Callithrix jacchus: one gene and its partners. The protein of the gene in region 2 interacts with the protein of the main gene of each other region in a biochemical or structural test. Links are inferred from orthologs where the notes say so. Each region holds a gene or a part of one and is shown on either strand. Other genes may lie near its edges.

Evidence for each region.
Region 1: the proteins of CDC27 (region 2) and ANAPC4 form a complex in vitro, tested with the Homo sapiens proteins (2 studies listed by BioGRID). The link is inferred for Callithrix jacchus from reciprocal best matches to the Homo sapiens genes CDC27 and ANAPC4.
Region 3: the proteins of CDC27 (region 2) and MDC1 form a complex in vitro, tested with the Homo sapiens proteins (2 studies listed by BioGRID). The link is inferred for Callithrix jacchus from reciprocal best matches to the Homo sapiens genes CDC27 and MDC1.
Region 4: the proteins of CDC27 (region 2) and PTTG1 form a complex in vitro, tested with the Homo sapiens proteins (3 studies listed by BioGRID). The link is inferred for Callithrix jacchus from reciprocal best matches to the Homo sapiens genes CDC27 and PTTG1.

What each region holds. Positions count from the first base shown.
Region 1 is NC_133504.1:168,460,733-168,468,283, forward strand, and holds the start of ANAPC4 (anaphase-promoting complex subunit 4), read right to left. Parts: upstream 5,006-7,551; 5' UTR 4,894-5,005; intron 4,821-4,893; 5' UTR 4,811-4,820; coding exon 4,682-4,810; intron 1,881-4,681; coding exon 1,775-1,880; intron 1-1,774. UniProt on the Homo sapiens protein: Component of the anaphase promoting complex/cyclosome (APC/C), a cell cycle-regulated E3 ubiquitin ligase that controls progression through mitosis and the G1 phase of the cell cycle.
Region 2 is NC_133506.1:86,997,260-87,004,209, forward strand, and holds part of CDC27 (cell division cycle protein 27 homolog), read right to left. Parts: intron 4,940-6,950; coding exon 4,865-4,939; intron 3,282-4,864; coding exon 3,125-3,281; intron 1,573-3,124; coding exon 1,490-1,572; 3' UTR 1-1,489. UniProt on the Homo sapiens protein: Component of the anaphase promoting complex/cyclosome (APC/C), a cell cycle-regulated E3 ubiquitin ligase that controls progression through mitosis and the G1 phase of the cell cycle.
Region 3 is NC_133505.1:35,494,137-35,501,287, forward strand, and holds the end of MDC1 (mediator of DNA damage checkpoint protein 1), read right to left. Parts: coding exon 5,514-7,151; intron 5,431-5,513; coding exon 5,311-5,430; intron 5,184-5,310; coding exon 5,001-5,183; intron 4,775-5,000; coding exon 4,649-4,774; intron 4,560-4,648; coding exon 4,449-4,559; intron 2,872-4,448; coding exon 2,704-2,871; 3' UTR 2,056-2,703; downstream 1-2,055. UniProt on the Homo sapiens protein: Histone reader protein required for checkpoint-mediated cell cycle arrest in response to DNA damage within both the S phase and G2/M phases of the cell cycle.
Region 4 is NC_133503.1:23,230,971-23,238,633, reverse strand, and holds the start of PTTG1 (securin), read right to left. Parts: upstream 4,039-7,663; 5' UTR 3,742-4,038; intron 3,592-3,741; 5' UTR 3,581-3,591; coding exon 3,490-3,580; intron 3,188-3,489; coding exon 3,003-3,187; intron 1,582-3,002; coding exon 1,488-1,581; intron 1-1,487. UniProt on the Homo sapiens protein: Regulatory protein, which plays a central role in chromosome stability, in the p53/TP53 pathway, and DNA repair. Probably acts by blocking the action of key proteins.

The DNA of each region.
Region 1 (7,551 bases), on a different chromosome or scaffold from region 2:
AGATGTGACCAATCCCAGCCTTCCTTCTTAAAAACAATTTAAAACAAACTTGAAATGATCATTATCTAACAAAAAATATATTTTGCTATCCAAAAACATGAGACTTTTAAAAATGAATACAACTACTTAAATATATTTTAATGCACACTTAGAGATGTAGACTTAAATGATTTATCTTTGAGATTCCATGTTTTTGAATTATTTAGTGCAAGATCTCAAAACTTTACTTACAAAAGTCCTCTAAACTTACACATATTCTACATATGCTCCAAGAAAAATGACTACAGAATGAGCATAGAATTTTTAAAACATTTCCTAAAATTCCATTTTGGGAGTTAATCTTAGGGAGCTACTGGCAAAGTTCTTCCCGGTGTTTAGAATGTTTACACAGCATTGCTTATAAAAGCCAAAAACTGAAAAGCTTCTAAATATCCGCCAAGGGGGAATAGGTTTGGTAAATTACAATATATAAATATAATGGGTTAGTTTGCAGTTATTTAACATTAATGTGGTAAATCTATCCACACTGACATGGGAAAAAGGGGAGGGGGAAGAAAAAGCTAAGCAACAAAATGGCATGTACCAAATGACCTTTTTTCTAATAAAACTACATATAGGTCTCTACAAGTATATACTTTATCAGGAAATGTTGTAAAAGATGTTCACCAAAACAGAAACAATTGTCATCTCTAAGTGATTTGCTTTCAGGGAATTTTTAAGTAATGAGGGCCAGGTGCAGAGGTTCACACCTGTAATCCCCATACTCTAGTAGGTAGGCGAATCGAGGCCAGGAGTTCGAGACTAACCGGGCCAAAACAGTGAAACCCTGTCTCTACCAAAAAATACAAAAATTAACCAGGTATGATGGTGCACGCCTGTAGTCGCAGTTACTGCTTGAACCCGGAAGGCAGAGGTTGCAGTGAACGGACTTCACACCACTGCACTGCACTGCACTCCAGCCTGGGCAACAGAGTGAGACCCTGTCTCAAAAAAAAAAAAAAAAAAAAAAGCAACGAGGAGCAAATATTTTACAAAAACAATTCATTTTTCTTAAAGCGTCAATAAAATGTTTAAGTACTTTATCTACAGAAAAATTAAGCAAAGAACACATATTTTACAAAAACAAGTCACTTTTTTCTTAAAATACCCACGACACAGATGAACTTTAAGCTGTAGGATTTACAGCATTTTTCTTCACTTTGATTATATGTGTCCAACAGTTCCAATAAGGATGGTCATTGTAAAAATATCACATGGAAGAGGACGATTCTGTCACCAGAGCCATAAAAGCCTATAACATAGGATGGGACCAGAAGAAAGATCACATAGAAATGGAAGGTATGGAGTCAAAGCTCATAGTCCCCCTGGGGAGGCAAACATATATGCACCAAGGGAATATGAGCCACACATTTCGTGCTAAAATCCATTGTGAAAGAGAAAGGCCATGATGGCCTTGAACTGCCTGACTGGAGAGTGGCAGGTGCTGCCTGGGCCAAACACAGGCCAAGATGACAGCGGAAAGAACAAAACCAAAATATTTTGTACATTCCATCAGATTTCACCTCAGAGTTATCTTTGCCAAGAAACAAGATAGCAGAATTAATCTGAGTTCTATAAAAATATTTTAAGGCATGTTTTTAAAAAAAAAAGGCCCCTAACTGGTATTTATAATTAAAATGTATACTAAGAACAATAAATTCTTCCTGAAAATGGACTTTCTTTACAGAATACTTTTTGTGAAAATAAAAACATATTTTTGTAATATTATCATTACGTTTGCCATCTGGTCTCCATGCCAGACAGGTCACTTCCTTTCCTGTATTTTCATTTGGTGGAAAACTCCAAACTCGATGAAAACTTGCAAGTCGATGAAGTAACACCTAAGACAAAGCAGATATAACGGCAGGAAATAAAAAAAAAAATCAATTTCCAAAAATAAAATACACCTCGATCCCTACTAAAACCTTTTTTAAAATTACTATCTCTCAAGTATAGTTAGCTATCAGAAAAACAGAAAAAGACAACAGTGTCTGCAAGAACACAAGGTATTTTAAAATAAATGGGTGAAACAAGGTCTAATTTCACCCAGTACCTAATACATCTTCCCATCTTTTATGTCAACGGGAGACTTACCTTTTAGAAGGAAGGCTGTCCAAGATGACAACCAAAAAAGAAATAAAAGAACACAAACATCACTAAAAAGGTAACTAGCTGTAATATACTCAAATAATACTAAGCTTGGAATTAGACCACGTGGCATCTGATTTCAGTTGTGTCACACACTAGCCATGGATCTTAGACAAATCACTTAACCATTCTAAATCTCCATTTCCACAACAGTAAATTCCCACCTTGGAAGGTCAAAATGTTGCCCAAGAGCTCTAAGACTGATCCTGTTGCAGCTTCTATACAACCATTGACAGTAAGGAAGAAAAGGCCTCACAACTGCACGTGCTCCTAGAAGACCCCTCTCGATCTCCATCGACTCCACACTCAGCTTTACCACCATGCCCTGCCTTACCTCACAGCACCCTTCACTCATGGTAACATCATCTCTCCAACTTGACCCTCTCTTTTCTGAAACCATTCCTGCCATTCCTTACTTCTGAAACCCTTCCTCTGTGCTTTCTGCAGCTCATGGTCAGATGGCATCATGAAATTAAAATCTTCATACTTTTATCGGAAATGTGCCTCTCACCAGAGGACATGGCTTCCCTGCAGCCTTCCTAGGTGGTGACCATTTTGTATCCCACGGACCCTGTACTGCTCCTCTTGGGCTAGGAGATGAAGCAGGTGTCTTCCTTGATGCTCAATGCCATTTCTTCTCTTCTTGAAAACCTCCTAACTTTGAATCACATGCAGTCAGACCATACCACCCACTCTCCCCTTGATTGCAGTCCTCTACAGACCCCTAGGCCATTCCCCTCATTCCTTGAAGATTTGCACACCTGGCTCGCTCATGCTTTCTAACAGCACACTCATCCTCATTTTTGGTGATTTCAAGAGCTATATGTCCTGGCTTTTCAGCTGTCAACTACCTCACCTCCAGTGATCACATCTTCTACTGCACTTAGCCACTCCCAGGGTCACACCCCTAGCCTGGTCATTACCAACAACTGCAGGGCCACCAAAATCTCCATTTCAAATTTCCTTCCCACCTTCCATCCACCACCCCTCTTTCAGCTCATCTCTGCAACACTCAACTCCAATTCTTTGACCTCACCAGAATATACAGTCTATTGATTCTACCCCCTAGTCACTGTTCCTCTCCCTACACCTGCCCTCACTTACCTCCTTAACCACGTTAGAACCCAAAGTTCATCAACAAAATCACTACCCTTGCACATAACTTCAACTCTTTCATCTTTCTCTTGCTAAACAACAATCCTGGTTAAACCCAACTGTACCTGCACCCACACAGCCAAACAGAACGGAGACACAACCTCATTCAACCAGTGTCTCTCAAATAAGAACACTGATCTTGTGGTGCTCTTAACACTGACTGAATCCTATTTAGGTTTCCCAAGTCCACCTGCCTTGTTAGCTTTTTCAGACCTCTTCTTTCTCCTCAAGCTTGCAATATTTTCTTCTCCATCTTCACCCACAGAAAATTCCCTTGCCTCTTCCTTCACTGAGAAATGGATGTAACAGTGCCCACTATCATGCCTACCCTTCTGATCGCACAGATGTACCTCCTTTCTACCTTTCCTCCTGCTCCTGTGGCTGTACCACCTGTTGTTCTCTAGAGCCACGACAGAGTTTCAAAGCATCCCGGCAGAGGAGGGAGACTAGATTTCATGGAGGGCCCTGAAAAATTAGACATCAATACCCTGGCTACTGGGTCATGGTAGATAACATGATGCTGTAGTCCACAGGGTGCTAAGATTTCCTTACCACTTAGTTTCCAAACTTAACTCTACACAACTCTCACCTGGCCAGATAATGCTCAAGCCAGAGGCCGAAAGATGCACAGGTGAAGGTTTCCTTACAAAATGGCTGGCAAGTAATAATTCTCAGCAGAAAGTTGGGTACAACAGGTGTTGGTACAACAAACTCGATGAAGTTTAATGTGAACTAGAAATGCTGACAAAACCCATGCACGTTCTGTCTGGAATCCAATGATGCATCTCTTCCTTGTCCAATTTAAAGGTTTTTAGTGGAAGTTAGCATCCAACCCGTAGTATAAAACGTGGACAAGAGACTACAGATTCTTAAATATATATTCTGGGTCAGCTACATGCATACAGTCTTGCAGCTAAAGTTCGAGAATTACTTCCTTCTGCTATTAAAACTGTAAGTAAACTTAGGGCAGGCCCTGAATTTACCACTATGTCTAGCTAATGGGTGGCACATCGTGGGCTTTTTAAAAAGTTCATTTAACTAATAAAGCGATGAGTGAAGAAGACTTGGGGATGCAGAATTGCCTGACGGTGTTAAGCTGTGTGAAAACTGTTACGTTAGCCATAAAAGTACTGAAAATGGCAAAGACACCACCTTTCGCATATATTACTTAAAGTTTACTGCCGTCCTGGGAGGCAGGGAAGGGGTAGCAGGTGGCCCGCCGCGTCTGCAGAAGGGGAAACTGAGGCTCCGGCCGCCTGTGGCCCGAATGAACAGGCTCGGTGTTTTTGGGCCCCCAGCGGGCAGACCCAGCCCAGGCGGGTTCCACCGGCTCACTTACCTCGCCCGCTGTGTTGGCCAAAGCAATGAGATCCCGCTTGGGAGACCAGACCAGGAAAATAATCTCCTGCGGGAGCTGCTTCTCTCCCACCACCCGGAAGGACGGGAAACAGGTCGGAAAACGCAACATGGGGACGGCCCTGCAACGACACCCCAGTCAGAGGCCGGCAGGAGCTCCTGGCCCTCCGCGAGAAGCCCCGACCAGGGCGGTACCTGCAAGAGTCCCCACCGGCGACCAACACGGCCCCAGCGGCCTCTCGCCTCCCTCTGCCGGCGGCGCGCCGCAGCCTCCAGACCGCCCCGCCCTGCCGCTGTCGCGCGCTCCAAGCACTTCCGGCCCCGGGAGTGCCTCGCGAGAGGAGAAGGCGGGGCGGGCCGGGCAAAGGGCCTGGCGAGGCTGAGATCCAGACCGGGCGGACCGAGACAAGGCGCGTGGGCGGGGCAAGGGAGCAGCGAGGGGAGGAGCGAGGTGGGGGTAGAATGGTGCCCCTGGGAGGGACACGGAGCAGCGAGGGGCGGAGCGAGGGGGAGGGTGGGGCACGTGGGCGGGGAAGGGAATGGCGAGGGGCGGGACGTGAGGGAGGGTGGGGCACGTGGGTGGGGCACGGCGCCCCGAGTGGAGCAGAGAGGGAGAAGCAGAGCAGTGGACCCAGCTGCAGGTGGGAGCGCTGGGCGCTGGGACGTGGAAAGCTGCACGCGGATTTTTTGGTAACGCATGTGTGCACGCGTGTAGGCACGCTTGCATAACTTTCCAGTTTTACCAAAAATTCGCTGCTGTGTTCGAAGGGACGGTAGGGGTGTAGGGGGAAGGCTTCAGCGACAATGGGGAAATGAAAAAGAATATGAACTTTAAGGTTCTGATCAGCTGGAGCCTCCTCTGACAGACTCCAAACAAATAGTTCTCATGTCAGTCCTGGTGGCTCAGTATAGAATTTTAAAAGTTCACCTGTCCAAGCAGCACCCCAAACCAATTAAAAGAGAATTAACTCTGGATGGGCCCAGTATTTACTAAAACTCTTTGGGTGATTCCAATTTGAAGAGGGAAGAGGGGCCTGCCCTCAAACCTCCCTAACAAGCAAATAATACTGTGACTCCTCATCCCATTTAACGCTCACAACTTATTGGTAATTGCAGCCCCATCATAAGGAATGAGGACTGTGGGCTCACACACGATTTCTTCTGTAGCTTCTTGGGCATTTACTATGTGGAAGAACTGGGGCTACACAAATGCATGGGACGGGTTTTGCCAGAAGGCTCACAGGCCTGCCTGGCAGTCTTGTAAATCAGAACTCATCTGATGTTGATTTATGTAGGACACATTTAAATGAGTCAGCATGTTCACAGTTCCCACAGCTATGACCTCCCTGAGAGAATGTGACAGTGTCATTCTAGGGTTCTTAAAATCTGTTGGAAATAGATGTTCGGTGCTGCAAAGAAAACTTAGCACTGAGACAAAGGATTTTTCAGCAATGCAATTTTTACTTCCTGGTCTGCAGGAAGCTCATGCCACAAGAATACAATGAACAAAGGAAAACACACAAATTTATCCCTTATGCATTTGGGGTCATCCTTACTGCTGTGTCTGATCTTCATTAGCTGGAGCCAGACCTCACAATCTAAATTAAAACCCGATTGGGTAACAACTTAAAACTTTTCTAAATAGGTAAAAGCAATGGAGAGCTGGGATATGCCTGGTTCAGCACAGATATCTTGGTTGAAATACAAGAACATAGAATATACTACCTGCCTATAAGCATGGCATGTCTAACAACTACATAGGATAGGGCTTAACAAAGAGTTATTAGCACACTTACTCTTTAATAAGCAAGGAAACTTTAAAAGGGAACTTTTCTACTTCCCACAGACCTATGGTAGAAAGCCATCTACTTTTCACTACCTTTCACTTGTTCAATGGAGAAAGAGGCCTCAGTGTGGATAACCCCCCACATAGGCACCAAGGAAGGAGAACTAAGCAAAATCCTGGCACAATTAAGATCTGAAGAATATCTCAGTTTATAGTGTTACTACTCAGTTATTTCTTTATATAATTCTCTCTATATAATCATATATTTGTTCATAGAATGAGTGCCTAAAGAATATCTCACCACTCATTTATATATATATATATAACTATATCTTAGTTCATAATTGGAGGAATGCCTGGAGTAGACACGGTACAGAGCATGAATTAAGGAATAAGCAGCTTATAGTCAGAGGAATGTCTGGAGCAGACAGTGCCGAGCATGATTTAAGGGAAAAACAGTTATACCAGGACAAGAATCCATGGCCCAGGGGGCAGTGTTCAGTATCATTAAGATACCCACTGTATGGCAGGCTTGGGGCAAGAGCCACTCCTCCTGATAAAGGAGTTGTAGGACCTCGCGTCTTCTTGTGGAAGGCTGCCCTCAGACCGGCAATCCCTCTAGCATCCATTCAAGGGCTCAAAACCCCTACGGATAATTGTACCTTGGTGACTGTGAACTTTATTAGCTCTTGTTACTGTGCTGCCCAAAAAGCGTCTTCCTATAGAACTCATTGGAAGCTGCCAACAGGTGGCGGTAACCCTGACAGCTCTGTCACTGCTGTGTGACTTAAAGCATCCTCCCACAAATCTTAGAAGTAGCTTGCCCGTAGGTAGAGGTAGTGCACACTGCACCCTCTTCACTGCGCACAGCCCACCTCCATGCCTCAGTGATCTAATGGGGGTGGACATCTTGCTGCACACTGTCCACCTCATAGCCTAGGTGACCTAATGAGGATGGACCCCTTGTTTTATTGCTCACAATCCTATCACTATCTTTGAAGATGACTTCACTCACTGCCCTGCCTCCTAACCTATACACAATAAATACTGACACTTCTGGACATTAG
Region 2 (6,950 bases):
TTTTGTAATCCACCTTATTTTCACAGCTTGACTAACAAATACAGGTAAGTTTGTCCTTCATCAAATAATCCAAAATAATAACTGTAGGCCTGTCATTTATAAGAAACTATAATTTGTTATATTCTGACATTGGCACTTAATAAAATGTTAACAACTAAAGTTTCTCTAAAAATATCAATACATTACAATAAAGGAGATACACAATTTAAGACTGTTTAAATCTGTTACTGTGGAATTCCAATAATTATCATTTTATATGCATAATTAGATCCTTAAAATTGTGGCCATTTCCCAAAGACACCAACCTGTATTATGACAAACTCAGGAGAGAACCTATCTCCTCATAAGAATGTTTTATTCCCCCAAGCTAAAATTTTCCAATATCCTAACCCCAATTACTCTTAGTAAATGTTTTGGTGACTCACACTACTGAAAATATCTGAAGCAGAGAGTCAAAAAGAATAGAAATGATCTCACCCAAGGGTAACCACACATTCTTCACTCTGCTTAAACACTCCGAAAAGTCAAAGGGATAATGTCTTGAACAAATAAAGATTCAAGGTTATGGTACAATTCTGATTATATTAAGGCTTTCACTATCAGGATCTCTTAAAAGTCTCTCCACTTTAGTGTTCTTACTCTGATTGATATGGTGAACTTAAGTGGTTGTTAAGGGCCTTGTTTTGGCTACTCAGTGGGAAACCACTCTATCATCTCTGAATGTTAAAGGTGATCCCACAGAGCTCAAAGAGAAGAGGCAATATGGTAAGAACCAATTTTAAAGTTTGCAATACCAAGACAACAATGATCAACACTTTGAAGCAAGATGAATAAAATCCTCAGTCAGACATTAAAGCATTCTTGCCAAGAATAGGTGTACACTGTATGGAGGGATATTTGATTCCTACATACGAGTCCCAATATGCCCATTACATTTGTTTATAGGAGACACTGCAAGTTTAAGGTAATTTACATTCCTTGGCAATCAAGTTACTGTTATAGGCAATGTCTTTTATTGTTCCATCTGGCACTTGCAAACACCATTCTTGAAGAACCTATAAATGAAGGTCAGTTACTCTGTTTATCAGGAACAGGACCAAATAAAAACAAATTTTTGAAAAAGCAACCAAGAAATTCTGGTCCGTCACTATTTTCCATATCTAATGGTTCCTTCAAGATAAAACATAACTCTTCCTTCCATGATAGCTTTCAAACGAAGGGAGATTAAAGAAAAACAAAAGTTCCCCACTCTACCCCCTGTAAATTGTCATTCATACTGGTAAAAGAGCCAGTCTTGTTAGCAGCTATATATTGCACTGCCTTTCATTCTGTATACAGTCAGGGTCCAATGAAAGTGGCACACTCATGGTATAAGTGATGGATCATGACTCAGAGTCGGCTCAAGAGTAAAGACTCAGTATATATGGAGGGACAAGAAACATGTCAGCACTAGTCACATATCCAGTTGTAAAAGTCTGATTTCCAGAAGTTAAAATTCATCACTTTCAGCTGCATGAAGTTGTGTGTCATCCGCATCTGTCATGCTGCTCTCCTGGGATTCATCTGTTCCCACTTTAAAAATAAAACCAAAGTCTACAGTAAGGTTTCTGACAAATATATCTTCTTGGTTCATGAAAACAAGTAAGAAAAACTGTATTATATTCAGAGAGATAAAACTCTAACTAAAGGCCCCTAAAAATCCTCATATCCTATAGTAAAACAGAATTCAAGTTCCCTAATTTTATAATAGGTCTGATACTAGTTTATTGCATTTTTACCTTTAAGGTTTTAACTACCCAAACTGCCTCTCCCTAATGAGTTCCTTATTCCTGCCCTAGGAATTACAACTAGTTAGTTCTCTGAGATACTAAAAAAAAAAATTGACATTTCCCCCAACCTCCAATCGCGGAGTCCTCTTTAAGGATACTCCATGCTAGTCCATAGAAACATAGACTATAAACTTCGGTTTCAAATAGGGAATCTCCTCCCCTCACCACCCCATATATCTGTCTTGCTCCGTCACCTAGCTAGGTTGGAGTGCAGTGGCACAATCACATCTCACTGCAGCCTCAAACTCCTGGACTCAAGTGGTATGATCCTCCTGCCTCAGCCTCTCAAGTAGCTGGGACTAGAGATGTATACTACCATACCCAGCTAATTTTTAAAATTTGTTTAGAGACAGGTTCTCACTATCTGCCCAGGGTAGTTATGAAATCCTAGGCTCAAGCAACCCTCCCACCTCTGTCTCCTGAGTAGCTGGGATTACATACACAAGCCAAAATGTTGCCTGGCTGATAATTTTTTTTTTTGAGACAGAGTTTTGCTCTTGTCACCCAGGCTGGAGTGCAACGGTGTGATTTCGGCTCATTGCAGCCTTCACCTCCTGGGTTCAAGTGATTCTCCTGCCTCAGCCTCCTAAGTAGCTGGGATTATAGGCTCCTGCCATCACGTCCAGCTAATTTATATATTTTTACTAGAGGCAGGGTTTCACCACATTGGCCAGCTGGTCTGGATCTCCTAACCTCAGGCGATCCACCCACCTTGGCCTCCCAAAGTGTTGGAATTACAGGTGTGAGCCACTGTGCCTGGCCCCATGGCTTAGAATTTTTTTTTTTTTTTTTAAGATGGGGTTTCACCATGATGGCCAGGCTGGTCTTGAACTCCTGACCTCAGGTGATCCACCCACCTCGGCCTCCCAAAGTATTAGGATTACAGGCGTGAGCCACTGCCCGGCCGGCTTATAATTTTAATTAAAGCCTTTCACCAAGTTTTCTGGAACAAAGGCATCTCATCAGAATTTATCTTATCAGAAATTTCTCTATCCTCTTCCTTAAAAAACTACATTCTTATGAAGCAGATAAAACAGTACTGGTTACATATTCAAACACAAATTGAGGGCCCAGGTAAAAATTAGCAATGAATTTGTCAAAGTCATACAGCAAACTGGATCCAGAACAGACTAATTACCTGACTCTATATGCATTTCGTTATTACATCACCCTGTTCAATTTCCCTAAATTTGGTATAATGAAAACACCATGGTTAGAAAAATAAGAGTATCCTACAAATCCTTATGCAAAAAGGTAACTTTCTAAATATTCAAAATCACATGTATGATACTTACTGATCTGCTCTTCTTGGGTTATTGGCTCCTCATCATCTGGAAGATAGCGCTTATCAATTGCCTCTTTAATCTGGTTATTGGCTCCTTTAGGATCTAAATCCATAGCCCAAGAGAAATTCATCAGGGCGAGGTGCGTTTGACCTAACTTCTTGTAAACCTAAAAATAAACAGCAGCACTACATTTTTCATTAAGTTGTGAGCTTCAACTATAAAGTTCTAAATATTTATTTATTTAATTTATTTTTTTTGAGATGGACTCTGTTGCCCAGGCTGGAATGCAGTAGGCACAATCTCGGCTCACTGAAACCTCCACCTTCCAGGTTCAAGTGATTCTCCTGCCTCAGCCTCTTGAGTAGCTGGGATTATAGGTGCCTGCCACCAAGCCCAGCTAATTTTTGCATTTTTAGTAGAGTCAGGGTTTTGTCATGTTGGCCAGGCTGGTCTCAAACCCTTGACCTCAGGTGATCCACCCACCTTGGCCTCCCAAACTGCTGGGATTACAACAGGTGTGAGCCACTGCGCCTGGCCCCTAAAATTCTAAATATTTATAATTTATATTAGGCTCCTGGTGTACGTGCTCTAAACTCATTCTAAGGGTAGAACACTTTCATCTTACAGATGAACTCATACTAGCTTTTGTTTTCCTTTTAATATAATCAGATGTTATTTTCAGAATTTCTTGCTTCTATCAGGTAATAAGTTTCCAGTAAATATCACTCTGACTGGAACAATGATAATGGGATTAAACGAATAATAAACTGCTTAATTAACTTTCATTTATGGTGATTTTAAATGGAGTTATATATATAAACTCTTAACAACTGTCTACAGGCACCTTAACTAATTGGCATCTGGGGGGGCCAGTCTGTAAAAAACTGACTAGTCTGGCCTTGGGAATCTCAGAAGCCATCTTTCCTAATCAATACAACACAGTGCCATTAATGTTCTTCTTATTTATTTATTTAGACAGAATCCTGTTCTCTCGCCCAGGCTGGAGTGCAGCAGTGCAATCTTGGCTCATGGCAATCTCTGCCTCCTGGTTCAAGTGATTCTCGTGTCTCAGCCTCCCGAGTAACTGGGATTATAGGTGAGTGCCACCATGTCCAACTAATTACATATATATATATATATTTTTTTTTTTCAGACAGAGTTTCGCTCTTGTTACCCAGGCTGGAGTGCAATGGCGTGATCTCAGCTCACCGCAACCTCTGCCTCCTGGGTTCAGGCAATTCTCCTGCCTCAACCTCCCGAGTAGCTGGGATTACAGGCACGCGCCACCATGCCCAGGTAATTTTTTGTATTTTTTAGTAGAGATGGGGTTTCACCATGTTGACCAGGATGGTCTTGATCTCTGGACCTTGTGATCCATCTGCCTCGGCCTCCCAAAGTGCTGGGATTACAGGCGTGAGCCACTGCACCCGGCCAATTTTTTATATTTTTAGTAGCAGTTGGATTTCACTATGTTGGTCAGGCTGGTCTTGAACTCCTGACCTCAGGCAATCCACCTACTTAGGCCTCCCAAAATGCTGGGATTATAGGCATGAGACACCATGCCCAGCTAGGATATAATTTTCTTAAGTGTTAAGAACTAAATCTGTTATTCCCAGAGCACTCAGTTTGGAGTTTTAGTTGAATTTGCTCAATAGATACTATACAGTAAGTATATTCATTCTTATAAAATATACAATGTCAATATTTGCTATGAAAGTCACAGTTTGGGACCATGGCCCCAGTCTTTACCTTTCCTATTAAGAAGTAAACGAGGGATTCTTTGGGAACAATTTGTTTCAATTCTTCAAGTTCTTGTAAAGCAGACTGAAAAAGGCAAAGAAAAACCTTAAAGTAGCAAAATGTTTGGAAGTTTTGACCAAGCAAGTATTTTTACTTATTCGATTTCCCAAATCATCTTCATAAAAGCTAACTAAATCTTTTTTTTTTTTTTTGAGATGGAGTTTCACTCTTGTTACCCAGGCTGGAGTGCAATGGCGTGATCTCGGCTCACCGCAATCTCCGCCTCCTGGATTCAGGCAATTCTCCTGCCTCAGCCTCCTGAGTAGCTGGGATTACAGGCACGTGCCATCATGCCCAGCTAATTTTTTGTATTTTTAGTAGAGACAGGGTTTCACCATGTTGACCAGGATGATCTCGATCTCTTGACCTCGTGATCCACCCGCCTCGGCCTCCCAAAGTGCTGGGATTACAGGTGTGAGCCACTGTGCCCGGCCTAAGCTAACTAAATCTTAACCAATATACTTCCTTATTGCATCAGTTCTTATTGTTGTGAAAATAAATGCATACTTATATGACAATAGGTACTAAGAAATGGCAGGTACTCTAGTACACTAAATGCACACACACACACACACACACCCCTTTGTGAAATACACAGATGGTGACAATTCTTGCTTTTTGATTATCTATCTACCTATATATCTATCTATCTTTCTACCTACCTACCTATCTACCTGTCAGTCAGTCTATTTTTATTTATTGAGATAGAGTCTTGCTCTGTCATCCAGGCTGGAGTGCAATGGCATAATGTCCGCTCACTGCAACCTCCGCTTCCTAGGTTCAAGCAATTCTCCTGCCTCAGTCTCCTGAGTAACTGGGATTATAGGTTTATGCCACCATACCTGCTAATTTTTGAATTTTTAGTAGAGATGGGTTTTCGCCAAGTTGGCTTGTCTCCAACTCCTGACCTCAAGTGATCAGCCTGCATCAGCCTCCCAAAGTGCTGGAATTACAGGTGTGAGCCACTGGTGCCTAGCCCGGTCATTTATTTTTTAATGAAAAATAACTATATAATTTTTCAGAACAAAAAGTCACTGAGAAGAGTGGCATTAACACTTTTGCAAGTCTGTTCATAGAAGACGGCCAGATTCTCACATCTATCTGCTTCTCCATTTAATGTTTTGATATCATGTATTATGTAAGTTTTGAAAAATTCTACTGTCCATTTGGGACAGAATGAAAAAGATAAATAATGTCAAGATACTATTGTAAAAATAGCTTTGACCTCTAGGACTCCTTGGAAGGGTTTTAGGGACTCACAGAAGTTCCCAGACCATACTTTGAGAATCATTACTTTAAAGAAATCTTTTTTTGGACTGGGTGTGGTAGCTCATGCCTGTAATCCCAGCACTCTGGGAGCTCCGAGGCAGGTGGATTATGAGGTCAGGAGTTCAAGATCAGCCTGACCAACATGGTGAAACCCGTATCTCCTAAATAAAATAAAATAAAATCCTTCAACGGAAGAAAATGACTACATATCTAAAGAGGTACAATAAAGCAAATACATAAAAACAAATACTGAATTACAATTATAGTACCTCAAAGAGTAGTTAAAAGATGAAAAGGATTTATTAGATTTAAAGTAAGCTTTAAAAAAAAAATTTTTTTTTTTTGAGACAGTGTCTTCCTCTGTTGCCCAGGCTGGAGTGCAGTGGTGTAATCTGGGCTCACAGCAACCTCCGCCTCCTGGGTTTAAGTGATTCTCATGCTTCAGCCACCCAAGTAGCTGGGATTACAGGAGTGCAACACGAAGCCCAGCTAATTTTTCTATTTTTAGTAGAGATAGGGTTTCACCATGTTGGCCAGGCTAGTCTCGAACTCCTGGCCTCAAGTGATCTGCCTGCTTCAGCCTCCCAAAGTGCTGGGATTACAGGCATGAGACACAGCACCTGGCCCTAGAAGCAGTTTTTAATTTTTTTTTGAGACAAGAGTTTCGCTTTTGTTGCCCAGGCTGGAGTGCAATGGCACAATCTCAGCTCACTGCAACCTCTGCCTCCTGGGTTCAAGCAATTCTCCTGACTCGGCCTCATGAGTA
Region 3 (7,151 bases), on a different chromosome or scaffold from region 2:
TTTTAGTAGAGACAGGGTTTCTCCATGTTGGTCAAGTTGGTTTCGAACTCCTGACCTCAGGTGATCCACCCACCTCAGCCTCCCAGTGCTGGGATTACAGGCATGAGCCACCATGCTTGGCTAAGAGCAGGTATTATTTAAATGACTAATTAGAAAAACAATCATGGTAGACCACTTAGTTCATTATTCTAATAAGCCTGTTGATCTGGTCCTCCCTGTTGCCAGCATCTCCACTTTCTACAAAATGGGTGGTCTTTTTCTTCATTCCACCTTGTGGAAAGGATAATCTGAAGGATCACAAGAAGTTATTTGCTTCTTTGAAGCATTTTCCTACAGTATAGATCGCATGAATCAGATCTTCCATGCAGGTGATGCCATATTTACCAAGAGATTGAGCAATCAAGGTGTTATCTGTCAAAGCAATTTGCTTCTTACTGATTTTGCCATAACCACACTGGTAGATTAGTTCATTTACTGACTTCAGATTTGGGTACCTCCATGCAATATATCGTTCTGCAATCCTCAGCATGTTAACTGAAGCCTTGTTAAGCTTCACAAAGGTTCCACTGAAGATTTGACAAAGGCAAAGAAGCTACAACAGCTTTCAGACCTTTGGGCTCAGCATCGATACCTCTGATCCTGATGACAAACATCACTTTGGGTTTTGCAGGTACATAGAAGTTGCCAGCTTTTCTAGCCATCCTTGCCACGTGAATTTCAGTTCTGTCCATTTGCCTATATTCCTTGTGATAGTGCTTTGCTTTTTCATAGATAAGCGATCTTGCTTTTTGAAGCATCTTTTGGGCAAATTTCTTTCTCAGGCCATTGATCTTTGGCTCTGCGAAATTCCTTTGCATTTTAAATTCTGGCCTAGTAGGAACCTTCTTTTTCTTCTCTACAACACCCTAAATGGTTCCAGCCAGAAAAGAGGCTTTTTTTTTTTTTTTTTTGAGACTGAGTCTTGCTCTGTCACCCAGGCTGGAGTGCAGTGGCGAAATCTTGGCTCATTGCAAGCTCCACCTTCCAGGTTCCGGAGATTTTCCTGCCTCAGCCACCCAAATAGCTGGGATTGCAGGCACATGCCACTACACCCAGCTAATTTTTGTAGTTTTAGTAGAGATGGGTTTCACCACATTGGCCAGGCTGGTCTCGGACTCCTGACCTCAGGTGATCTGTCCATCTTGGCCTCTCACAGTTCTGGGATTACAGGCATGAGTCACCACAACCAGGATTTTTTTTTTTATTGAGACAAGGTCTCACTCTCCTGCCCAGGCTGAAGTGCAGTGGCTCAATCTCAGCTCACTGCAGTCTTGACCTCCTGGGCTCAAACGATTTTCCTCTCAGCCTCCCAAGTAGCTGCGACCACAGACATGTGCCACCATGCCAGGCCAATTTTTGTATTTTTGGTAGAGAAGGTTTTGCCATGTTGCCCAGGCTGGTCTTGAACTCCTGAGTTCAAGTGATCCGCCCACCTTGGCCTCCCAAAGTGCTGGGATTACACGTGTAAGCCACTGTGCCTGGCCAGATGTTTAACTTTTTGACGAACCATCAGATCGTTTACCATAGAGGCCAAACCATTTTACATTCCTACCAGCAATGTGTAAGGATTCTAATTTCTCCACATCCCAATTTGGCTGGGCATGTTGGCTCTACTGTAATCCCAGCACTTTGGAAGGCTGAGGTGGGTGGATCATTTGAGGTCAGGAGTTCGAGACCAGCCTGGCCAATCTGGTGAAATCCCGTCTCTACCAAACAATACAAAAAAAAAGAGAAAATATTAAAAATTAGCTGCGCATGGTGGTGGGTGCCTGTAGTCCAAGCTACTTGGAAGGCTGAGGTGGGAGTATTGCTTGAACCCAGGAGGTGGATGTTGCACTGAGCTGAGACAGCACCACTGCACTCCAGCCTGAGTGACAGAGTTAAGTCCCTGTCTCAAGAAAAAAAAATTTAAGAAATGCTATATAATTTGCCCTAAATAGAAGATAATGATGAATTAAATATAAGTCCCTGACTTTGTCTTGAGACCTAGACATTTTTAAAAACTGCACTACAACATAAGGCACAGAGTGAATATTTATTTATCACAGAGGTCAAGCCTAAGGTCTAATTTTATAAGTTCTGGAAAAGCAGGCCAGAAAAGTACAGAGGCTTGCCCAAAGTCAAAGCTAAAGATCCTCCCAGAGACTGAGAGAGAGAAAAATGTTTGAGTAGCACTCTATAACTGGACTTTCATATCTACTCACTCTAAGCATCCCTTCAAGTTCCTGACCCCAAAGTAAGAATCCCAGTAAGAAAACAATAGAGATGGTTTCCAAATAGGAGGTAGGACACCGTGAGTACCAACAAGCAATAACAGTCTGGCTAAAGATAGCTGCCACTTAAGACATCTGAGCATGAAACAAGCTCATTTTAAAATGGCCATTTAATAAATGCATGCAAGAAATCTGCTCTTGTAGCCCCTAAATCTATACAAATAAAAACATACAAGTAGAGATAAAATAAAATGGCCATTAAAAAAAAAAACAAAAACTCTGTGGTCCCAATTGCCTTATCTTTTCATTTATTCATAAATATTTCTGGTCCCACCCTATGTTCCAGGACAAGTCATATCAATATACCCCAATCCTTTCTAACGTCCTAAGTTCTTTCTTCCAAATATCTTCTAATATTTTATTTAATGGAGGTAAAAGGGTAGTGGAGGTCTCAGGTGGATGACATCTCCAAAGGGGAAAGGACAAAGGCCTCTGGCTTGGCTTCCTGCTTCAGCACTCCAGTCAGCAGGAACTCAGGTGAGAGGAGGGGCAGCCCAACCCGTCGTGGAACAGAGCATCGAGGGAAGTCCTGGGAGCATGTGATCACAACTCTCTGAGGCTGGGGAAGACAGAGCAAAAACAAAATTAGGGGTGAAAAAGAATCCTAAAAATGGGTTCTGGACCCACTAACCAGTCTTAGTATCACTAAAATAGTACCTCCTAATATGAAGCCACGTGAAGCATACTGCAAACTGTCTATAAAATATTCTTGCTAGAGGTTGGGCATGGTGGCTCATGCCTGTAATCCCAGCACTTTGGGAGGTCGAGGTGAGTGGATCATGAGGTCAAGAGATGGAGACCATCCTGGCCAACATGGCGAAACCCCGTCTCTACTAAAAATACAAAAATTAGCTGGGTGTGGTGGCGCATGCTTGTAGTCACAGCTACTCTGGGGGCTGAGGCAGGAGAATCGCTTGAATCCAGGAGGGGAAGGTTGCAGTGAGCAGAGATAGCACCACTGTACTCCAGCCTGGCAACAAAGCGAGACTCAGTCTCAAAAAAAAAAAAAAAAAAAGAAAGAAATACTCTTGCTAGAAAGATGAAATCAATTTATTCAAGCTTTTACAATTATCTACAATTTCCAGGAATATGGAACACAGAGGAACAAGATACAACAAGGAGGCAAACTCAAAAATCCATACTGAGGAACATTCTAAAGGAAAAGTGACCCAGTTTCTGCAGGAAATTGATGGTATAATAAAGGCTGGGTGAGTTAAGGAATGCTCTAGAGTAAAGAGAATTCAGAGGGTAATAGATGTGGCAGTATGTGGACCTTATTCGAATCCTGATTTGAACAACTGTATAGAGACATTTTTCAGACAACAGGAGACATTTTATTTATTTTATTTTATTATTATTTTTTTTTTGAGATGGAATTTCACTTTTGTTACCCAGGCTGGAGTGCAATGGCGCAATCTCGGCTCACCGAAACCTCCGCCTCCTAGGTTCAGGCAATTCTCCTGCCTCAGCCTCCTGAGTAGCTGGGATTACAGGCACGCGCCACCATGCCCAGCTAATTTTTTGTATTTTTAGTAGAGACGGCGTTTCACCATGTTGACCAGGATGGTCTCGATCTCTTGACCTGGTGATCCACCGGCCTCGGCCTCCCAAAGTGCTGGGATTACAGGCGTGAGCCACCGCGCCTGGCCGGGAGACATTTTATTAATGGAGTGTGAGCAAATAATCAATAAACTATTGTTAATTTTGTTTTGGATCAATAATGTCACTGTGATTATGAAATAAAATGTACACATTTCTTAAATATGTATACTTAAGTATGTAGGAAGAAATAATATAATATTGGCAGTTTGCTTTAAAATACTTCAGCAAAAAAAAGGAAAAAAAGAAAGAATAAAAAAAAGAAAATACTTCGGCAAAGAAAATCAAAGGAAAAAAGAGATAGATGGAGCAAATGTAATGTAATCTAAACTAAGCTGCTGATTGATGATTGTTAGGGGTATCAGCAGATCTCTCTCCTCATTCCTATCCCTTTCTATACCATAGGTTTTTCCCCCACCCTCTCTCTACTCTATATTCCTTTCTGTACCTCCATTTCCCCCCCCAACCGTTGCCATTCCAGCCACCTCTTTAACTGCCACTGCCACCTCACCCAGACCCAGAGCATCCTAACTATACCTTATAGGACCGAGGCATGCTGGGTAGGACAGTGCCTCCACAGCAGCTGATGATCTCTCCCATCTGAGGTGGTGGTGGCTGGACTCCAGGGGTCACATGGATCTCATAGCCCTAAGAGAAAGAAATGGTGGAGGCAGTAGATGTATGTTGGGAAGCACTGGAGGGAGGGTTGAAGCACCAATCAAAAGATAGCCTCTCACCTCCAGCAGCCTTCGCTCCCGAGCCCGGCTCAGAGCATCTTGAAGGCTAAAGCCAAAGTTCTTCTCTTGCTCAGGATCAGTCACCACATATTCATCCGGGGGTAAGAAGCAACCAGCCTTGCGGGACTAAGGATGGCAGCAGTCAGCATCAAAACTCAGCCCAGCCCCTCACCCAGCTCTGCTGCCTAGCATTTATAGAGAGCTCACAAAATATCTTTTAAATAAATTCAGGCTCCTGCCTCACTAATGTCTCTGTCTTCCTGTAACTCCTCTTCCTCCCTACCATTTTCTAGGGTGCTACATGAGCAGTCTTGTCACTATATTGGTCTGTCATCATCTCTTGGCCTCTCACCTGATGCAGCCAGTCCAGGGAGAGAATGGGGATTCCCCGCCCCAGGGCACACAGGAACTTGACTGTCCGGCGGATTCGATCAGTGACCAGGTGGGAAGCCTCTGCCGCTGAATCAGCCAGACTTCCCCCCAGTGCCAGCACGGCCCGCTCTCCCTGGGCATCCACCACTCCTGTGAAGAGCACCTGTGGAAGGGTTGGCCTGAGGTGGTCACAGCAACCTATGCCATCAGCATCTCTACAGTCCCCGAGGTCTCCTTGTATCCTCCCCTCATCTCTGTCTCCCACAAAGTCTCATGCCCTTGTCTCTTACTTTGGGGGCTGTTGATTCCCGGGTAAATTTGGTCCGTCGGAGGCTGCGGCTCTGTATGCTATTGGGCTCCTCCTCTGCCTGGTCTCTCTTTTTCTTGCCTGGTTTTGGAGTCATGACATCCTGAGATAGAGAAAAATCTTAGTGGGAGTTTCAGAGCCCTGAAGCCCTTTTTCCCAGCTTTGTGGTCCCAGCCTTCTCCTCACCTCTTCTTTCCCTGGCTTCTCTGTAGTATCTTCTAACTCTTCCTTGAGAAACACTGTCTTCTGGGAGACTTCTCTTCGGGGCTGTTTTTGAAGTGGTGGTGAATCCGTGGTAGCAAAAGCCCTCTTGCGGCTTTGAGAGACCTTAGGCTGGGGCTCTGAGGTAAACCTAGATCTACCTACTGCTTCCACCTTTTGGATCTGGGAGGCATGAGTTGGTGTCTCAAGAAGCTGGAAAGAGGCAGGCTCAGGAATGGCTGTAAGGGATTCAGCTTCTCTAACTGCTCCCCATCTTTGGTTCCTTGAGGCCTGGGATTTAGTTTCCAGGGGTGCAGAGCAAGGCTTATGGTCAATGGGAGTTTTGAGGGAGCCAGGATTCCCAATGACTCTCTGCCTCTTGCTGCAACTAGCTTGAGGAATAGGCTCAGGGGAAATAGGCTGATCTGTGGTAACAGGGGACTGGAATTCAAGGGTGGTAGGAACGGACACAGCACTTACTATAGAAGACCTCAGTGTTTTGCTCTGACTACCCTGAGCTATGGCCTCAGGGGTGACAGGCAGGTCTGTGGGGATAAGAGGCTCAAGATTAGAGGCTGCTGGTTCAACTGGTTTGGGAGTCTTGACAGAGGACCTATTTACTCTTCCTCTAGTGGCTCTAGATGTGGGCTTAGGTGTGACAGGCTGGTCTATGGAGGTTGTAGGAAGGGGCTCAGGGGCTGTGGGGACAACTGGTTCAGGGGTCCTGACAGAAGACCCATCTGTCCTGCCCCTAGTGGCCCTAGATGTGGGCTCAGGGGTGACAAGCTGGTTTCTGGAGGTCGAAGGCTGGAGCTCAGGGGCTATAGGGACAACTGATTCAGGGGTCTTGACAGAGGACCTATTTGTCCTGCCCCTAGTGGTCTGAGATGTAGGCTCAGGGGTTACAGGTTGAACTGTGGAGGCAGAAACCTGGAGCTCAGGGGCTGTGGGTACGACTGATTCAGGGGTCTTGACAGAGGACCTGTTTGTCCTGCCCCTAGTGGTCCGAGATGTGGGCTCAGGGGTGACAGGCTGGTCTGTGGAGGCAGAAGCCTGGAGCTCAGAGGCTATGGGGACAACTGTTTCAGGGGTCTTGACAGAGGGCCTATTTTTTCTTCCCCTAGTAGCCTGAGATGTGGGCTCAGGGGTGACAGGCTGGTCTGTGGAGGCAGAAGCCTGGAGCTCAGAGGCTATGGGGACAACTGTTTCAGGGGTCTTGACAGAGGACCTATTTTTTCTTCCCCTAGTAGCCTGAAATGTGGGCTCAGGGGTGACAGGCTGGTCTGTGGAGGCAGAAGCCTGGAGCTCAGAGGCTATGGGGACAACTGTTTCAGGGGTCTTGACAGAGGGCCTATTTTTTCTTCCCCTAGTAGCCTGAGATGTGGGCTCAGGGGTGACAGGCTGGTCTGTGAAGGCAGAAGCCTGGAGCTCAGAGGCTATGGGGACTACTGTTTCAGGGGTCTTGACAGAGGACCTATTTTTTCTTCGCCTAGTAGCCTGAGATGTAGGCTCAGGGGTGACAGGCTGGTCTGTGGAGGTGGAGGCCTGGAGCTCAGGGGCTGTGGAGATAACTCGTTCAGGGTTCTTGACAGAGGATCTATTTTTTCTTCCTCTAGTAGCCCG
Region 4 (7,663 bases), on a different chromosome or scaffold from region 2:
TTAATAATTTCTAAGAGTGTCAAACCAAAAATAAATTGAGAACCACTGTGTTAGGTAACATTCCTTCTTAAAATCCAAGTACCTTACTTCTTAGCAACTTTTTTTTTCCGAGATGGAGTCTTGCTCTGTCACCCAGGCTGGAGTGTAGTGGCATGATCTTGGCTCACTGCAACCTCCACCTCCCAGGTTCAAGCAATTCTCCTGCCTCAGCTCCCAAGTAGCTGGGATTACAGGCACCTGCGACCGCACCTAGCTAATTTTTGTATTTTTAGTAGAGAGGAGGTTTCACCATGTTGGCCAGGCTGGTCTCAAACTCCTGACCTCAAGTGACAACCCCCACCCCCACCCCTGCCCCCTGGCCTCCCAAAGTGCTGGGATAACAGGCATGAGTCACTGTATCTTAGCAAATATTTAAAACAAGCAATTGTTTTGTACAGTAACAAAAGTATAATTTAATACTGAATTTTCTTTTCAAGGAGATTAAGTGTTTTCTCAAAAGATTAGAAAATCATAGCTCTCCTCATCTTTGTCCTTAGGTGTGAAAGTTCTCTAAAGCCTAAGTACTCAAGAATTAAGTTTGCTCTGGGCTGGCACAGTGGCCCATGCCTGTAATCCCAGCACTCTGGTGGTGGGGAGGGGTGAAGCCCCATCTTTACTAAAAATATAAAAATTAGCCAGGCGTGGTGGCGGGTGCCTGTAATCCCAGCTACTAGGGAAGTTGAGGCAGAGAATTGCTTGTACCAGGAGGTGGAGGTTGCAGTGAGCCGAGATTGTGCTACTGCACACCAGGCTGGGCAACAGAGCAAGACTCCCATCTCAAAAAAAAAAAAAAAAATAGTCTGCTCTTTTTCAAGCCTGGTTAAACCCAGAAGTCAAAAAGGAAGTGAATGATATGTGACTACTTAACTTAAAACCACTGAATTGTAAAGGAAACTATAAACAGGCAAAAAACTCCAGAGGAAAGAAGTCTGCATTATACATAAGGGAAGCTAATTTTATCTACAAAGAGCTCTTTAATCAAAGAAAAAAACAAACAGGAAGTTAACAAAAAAAAAAGCAAAACTGAAATCTGAAAAACATGTCTTCACTGTTTTATGTAGAATTTTCTAACCAAAGAAATAATCCTACCAAAGTACTCTCAGGCGCTGCTCAACTTGACATAAAGCTCGCTTTCTAAAAACCTTGTGAGAAAGACTGTACACAGTAAATCACTCAATGTTCATGAATAGATCTTACTTCCTCTGGGTGATAAGCTTTTACAGAGAGAAACAATGTCTTCTACATCTTTGCTCCTATTCCCCTCCTGACCTAAGACAATACCTTGCAAGTAATTCCATCAACAGGTACACTTGTCCAAAGCAACCCAGATTCAGACAGTCTCATTATAGTTTTTGGTCATACATTATATTCCTATCAAGTTACAGCTGATCTGAATACTAAGAAACTAAAGGCCAAAAGCAAGTTTCCGCAATTGCAAAAGATACTACCTAGAGGATTGAAGGGAAAAAATTTTTCTATTTCTGGATAGGCATCATCTGAGGCAGGAACAGAGCTTTTTGCTTTAACAGTCTTCCCAGTCATCTAGAGCAACCAAAGAAAATGAGTTAGTGAGAGGAAGTATTATCAGCTATTTAGTTTTTAAATTTGTCAATTTCATGCTGCCTTCTAAGAAGATAATCCTTAGTTTTCCTATTCACACCTAAATATACTTCAATAGGATTTAAATGTAATTCGAGTAGCATGACTTAAAATTTAAATCTGAAATTTAAGTATCAGCCCCTGTCAGCATAAGTTATCAAGAATGCAGAGTTAATTCAGAGCTAATCAACACAATTATTCAACCTAACAGAAGAGCAAATGGGCATGAATCACCCAGGTCAGTAGCTAATCATCAAAACCATTTTTGGCTTATGGGAGTATGATTTTTTCCGTGTTACCTTAATTATTTGCATGGTTAATATTAAAAACAAGTTTGTGTTCCTCAAATAAACACACTGAGTAAGAGGCAGCAAGACACTGTCAAGACTTTATAAAAACACCATGGACAAGGAGCTGACAGGTCTACTACAATCTACTACAGGAGCGTGCCACAGTGGAAGCCTGCAGGTTCCTGATTTATCTCACCTCACATATGCATGCCTAGAACTCCCTGTGGGGTTCTTACACTTCGGTACTGTTCTTATTGCTTTTCCCGTATCTTTGCAATTCCTGTATTTAATATTTTTAATTCACTTTTAAGGAATACCTCCTAAGTTGCACTACATGTAATTCACTGGTTGTTTCCTAATGCAATTTTTTAAAAAAAAAAAAAAAAAAAACTTTTTTCTGTGTCACTTGTGCTGGAAAGAAAAAGTGTTTCAGGCTGGGCGCGGTGGCTCACGCCTATAATCCCAGCACTTTGGGAGGCCAAGGCGGGTGGATCACCTGAGGTCAGGAGATGGAGACCAGCCTGATCAATATGGTGAAACCGTCTCTTTAAAATATATATAATTTAAAAAAAGAAAAAGTGTTTCAAATAAAGTGTCAATCCACATGCTAACTTCATCTTTCACAGCAAAGTCCTCTGGGTCTGGGATACACAGGCCTGTAGCTTGTGACCCACACTCACAAAAATCAACATGCTAGCAAACTGTCATCTAACAAGCTGCTGCTTGCTCTGGAAGGCTAGGAGAATGGCAGCACCTGTGCTATTATAGCAGCAACAGAACCTCCTAAACTACCCTCTTCTCTCAATATGTATCTGTAAGTAGATAACAACCAATCTGTTTCAAGACACTAGTTAAAAACAGGTGAGGCAAAAATATGCATTAGATGCACGTGAGATTTCCTACGTCAAAGTACCGAGAAGCCACAAGGACAATGAGTCTCCTCCACTACTGTTTGCTAACCTCTACTTCCCTTCTACTCAGAGGGAAAAAAGCTAGGTAGGATGACGCCAAGGGTCATTTTAAGAGTCAAAAGTGCTTAAGTGTTTAAACAGTGTCTTTATAGCCAACACTCACCTTTTTGGCAGAAAAGCTTGGTTGTTTTTGATTGAGGAGTCCACTGGTCTTCACTGACTTTTCTGTAGCTCTGTTGACAGTTCCCAAAGCCTTTCTAGTAGCTTTAGGTAAGGCTGGTGGAGCATCATACGTTTTGCCAAAACGTGGTGTTGAAACTTGAGATCTCCCCTTTAAGGCTTTGACTGCTGAAGAAAAAGTCTTACCGTAAGAATACTCCAGCAGCAAAATACCTGTGCAACTTGAATACTGTGTATATAAACTTAACTCTCACCCCCAAACCCAAGCCCCATTCTTGGTAGTGGCATGACTATAATACACCTAATAGCGGAGATTCAGTACTCTTAAATCATCTCATTAAGATATTGAAAATGAAAAAGTACCGATAACAAACTTGACTGATTGCCCACAAAGTACACTAAATTGTCTCGTCCAGCTCCAGGCCACGTCCACAATATGAGTGTATCTGACTGCAGCCCTGTATACTTACAAGGTCCAGACCCCAGCTTCAGCCCATCCTTAGCAGCCACACGGGTGCCTGTTTCTCCATTTTCCTTATCAACATAGATCAAAGTAGCCATTCTGGATTATTCTAAAAATGAGAAATACATATTAGATATTGGGGAAGGTGCGAGAAGCTAAGGTACAGCAACAGTCCAGACTTTCTATCCCAGGGATGTTCACACAAAAACGAGAGCTAAACAGAGGGGCAATACAATGACGGGCTTCAGCCAACAAGTACTTCATCCAGCTCTTAAATCTTCCAGCCAGAGTCAGAGGTTCTAAGGTCCTGAGGAAGCAGGCTGTTTGGAGCTGGCACTCAGAGAATTGCCGCGAGTCCAGTTCTCAGTCAGAGACCGCGCTCATAGGGGCTCGGAGCCAGCTGCGCCCCGAGCAGTGCCCAAGCCCCAGCCCCAGCTCCAGCCCCAGCCCCAGCCCCAGCCCACCTCCTTCGCCGCCCGAACCGGTTCGCCCTACCAACCCGCGAACCTCCCGTTCACTCACAACGCTCTCAACAGCCACCTTCCTCTGACATCACAGGGAACGGACGCCGCGCACTCCCGGTTTAAACCACAACTCGCGGCCCAATTGGCTCTTCCGCCCAGGAGGCGGGGATGGGGGCGTGGTCACCAGGCAGAACCAATGGAGAGACCTAAGCAGCCAGGGCTCCTCCCCGAAAGCTTTTTTCTGCAAACTTCGTGGCACGTTTTCGGTGGGGGCGGGGCAAACTAGGATCGTGTACTATTTGAAAAAACTTGGGTGGCTTTGTTTTGCTCTCCATATTATTAAGCTTCATGGGCTGAGGTACTGGCTCAATAACAATGTTTTGTTGCTTTAAGATATTTTTATTTAAATGGCACTGTAGAAAGGATGGAAAATAAATAGAAATACTTTTGGAGATGGGGGAATAACCAGTGTTGGGTCTAAAGAATACTAGCAGAGAAGAATTTAAAATTAAGAAGAAATGTAAGTACAGAGAGATCAAACAGCAGCGTTTGAGTCATTCTGTTATGCTTATGAATAAGAACAAACTGATCATTCCCTAATCTTAGGACTATCCTCAATACTTCAGGCTAAGATGCTGTTTCTATTATACCATCACAAATCTGTCTTAGGAACAAAATGATGATTCTAATGAATACATAATTTAGTCTTCCCTTAAAATCCTATCATTTAATAGTGATTTATTTTAAACCTCTAACATCTCAAGAATATATTCCAAAGCTGCCTGGAAGGGCTTGGCCAGGGAGCAAGAGAACATCAGAAAGATAATAAAGGTATAAAAAAGGAATTCCAGTTTCCCAGATATGAAAATAAATTTTGCTTGCAAAAGTTGATGACCTTTTCCTGTTTCTATAGTAAATTGGAATATATTGAACAACTACAAGATAAAGGTACAAATTCAAAAAATCAAAGCTGACCTGTGTCATTCAAACTCTGCTTCCCACAGGTCACCATATATACATTTTAACCTGCAGATCAGCTGGGAGAGAGGAGTTGATTCCATATTACTCTTTCACAAAAGGTTTAACACTATACCTGACATAGACATGGTTCTCAATATATGCCAGTTCATCACCTCTTCTTCCCTGGCATTTCAGGACCAAAATTGATTGAATGATTCCTTCATTCACAAATATTTATTCAATACCTATTAAATGCTGGACATTATACTAGGTATCAAGATGAAAAGAGCCTAACCTAAGTGAAGAAAAGAGGAAAGACAGAAAAATATGCATACCTTTATTGTCTCTTCACTGTCTTCTTTATCCCCATCCCTTATTTCCTCCTGTAGCTCCTAAATTTTGCATCATCATATTATATTATCAGCACTCAAAGCGTTAAGTTTTTGAGACTAAATCTGTACAACACCTATAGCTTCCAAGTGGAGATTCTCTATAAAGGTTTTGGGGTGCAAGGTTTATCTCCTTAAGGTGTCTTCTATTTTCACAGCAGAAACCATTGTTTCTCCCAAGGTCATGCAACAGCTGTAAACTATAACCACCCTCTCTTTGACTAACGGCTATTTTCTTAGTAATGATGCCCCCAGACCAGCTTTGCTATTTCTATTACTGGAGATACTCATTTGCTAACCCACCCTCGCTCATAACAGCACTTAGTCCCTAATCAGTTTCTCCTAATCCTGCTTTACAAACAGCAACCCATCCAGAACCAATTCCCGCTTTCCTAGACCTTCCTTAGAACCCTCCAGAGGGACCTCAAGTCTTAGACTAAGATTGAACTCTCTTGTCCTGAGCATTCTGATTCCTCTTCAAGATGTGCTCTCCTGATGGTTTTGGCTAATTAGGCCTTAACACTCCTAAGCAAATTTCAGGAATGTTTTTAAGTGGAAAAAAGCAAAACCTGAGTGATTCATTGACTCTACTGCCTTATGTTCTCACAGCACCTGGTATTCCTTTCATAGCAACTTTTTACAACTCCTAAATTATCTGAATAGTTGTTTCGGTGTCTTTCACGCTCTGATGTAAATATGAGGAAAGACACTATGTTCACCAAAGCTCCAGCATGCTACTCTGACTCTATTTCTTCATCTACTGCTCTGTAAATGCAAAATTAACATTTGTTTTTTTTTTGAAGCAAAATCTTGCTCTGTGCTGAGCTGGAGTGCAATCTCTGCCTCCCAGGTTCAAGTGATTCTCCTGCCTCGGCCTCCCAGTAGCTGGGATTACAGGCGCACACCACCACATACAGCTAATTTTTGTATGTTTAGTAGATATGGAGTTTCACCCTGCTGGCCACGATGGTCTGGATCTCCTGATCTCATGATCCGCCCACCTCGGCCTCCCAAAGTGCTGGGATTACAGGCGTGAGCCACCGCGCCTGGCCTGCAAATTCTTAGTACAAAAAAATAGATTCTATTATGTTGAGTTATTTTATTGAGGCAGGGATTGCAGCTATTTTAACTTTTATATTCAAAAAGGACACACGTTATGGAGGGGAGAGGCAGAGAACAACTAGAATAGATAGCACAAATTTTAAAAATAACAAGAAATTCTACCACCAAAATTAGTTCATATTCCAGTATTTTATTTCCCATGTATACTTTTAAAGGAGGGATGGGATAGCATAGATACTGTTTCTCCAAAATGGAAATCGTCTTATGTTTTTCTAATGATAACATGCCTTATGTTCTCACAACACCCGGCATTCCTTTCACAGCAACGTTTTACAACTGCTAATTATCTGAATAGTTGTTTTGGTGTCTTTCGCACTCTGACGTAAATTTGAAGAAAGACACTGTTCACCAAACCCCCAGCATGTTACACAGCCTGGCTACTAATGAGTACCAATTTTAACTTTTTTTTTTTATATATAGCGGATACGTCACCAACTTCCCCATTCATTTCATAGTCCCCTGGTGAGGCTTAAGCTGTTGTCTGTTCTGGGTATTTTTTTTTTTAAACTTCCTAACATTCTCTGATTCTAAAAGAAACGGAAGTTCCTAAATAGAAGCCAAAAACAAACTGCCCAACTTGAATCTCTTCACAATCCGGATAAAAAGCTCGACACGCACACGCGACAACGGTGCTAGAGCACCGGAGGCCCCCCGCCCCCTCCAGGAAATTAGTGCGCATGTGCCATTCATCCGGAAGTTGTCTCAGTGGCTGCCGGAATAAGGCGGAAAGCCGGAAGTAAACATTACGAGATTACCCGAGCTTCTGTCTGATGGACTTAGGGTCAGGTTCTGCGGGACTGGGTAAGAAAATGTTCCTAGAACTTGCGGGCGAAGGGCAGTTGAGGAACCAGAGAAAGTGGGTCGAAGGCCTCTAATTACTGGATCTATCCTCACGGGGGTGATGAGCCCCCAGGTGTAGAGGGAGCGAGGCCCGGGGACCGAAAAGGAAGCCGCTGTCCTGAGACGCATTCATGGCACTCGTGCCCAGCCGGACCAGGCCTGCGTCTTCAGGGGAACAGTCGGAATGGCTATGAGAGTGTCGCCTTTGTGGCGGTGGTTTTAAGTACGCCTCGGAGACCTTGCGCGGTACCCGGACTGCGAGCGAGGAAAGCTGCTTCCAGTACCCAAATTTACAGACTATTTCCTCGTCAGAAAAATTTCCTTGAGCTTCAGTTTTTCCTGTTAGGTCGGAATGATCTGACTTCAGTAAAGTATCCTGAAAGTAAAATGAAAACATCTATGTAAA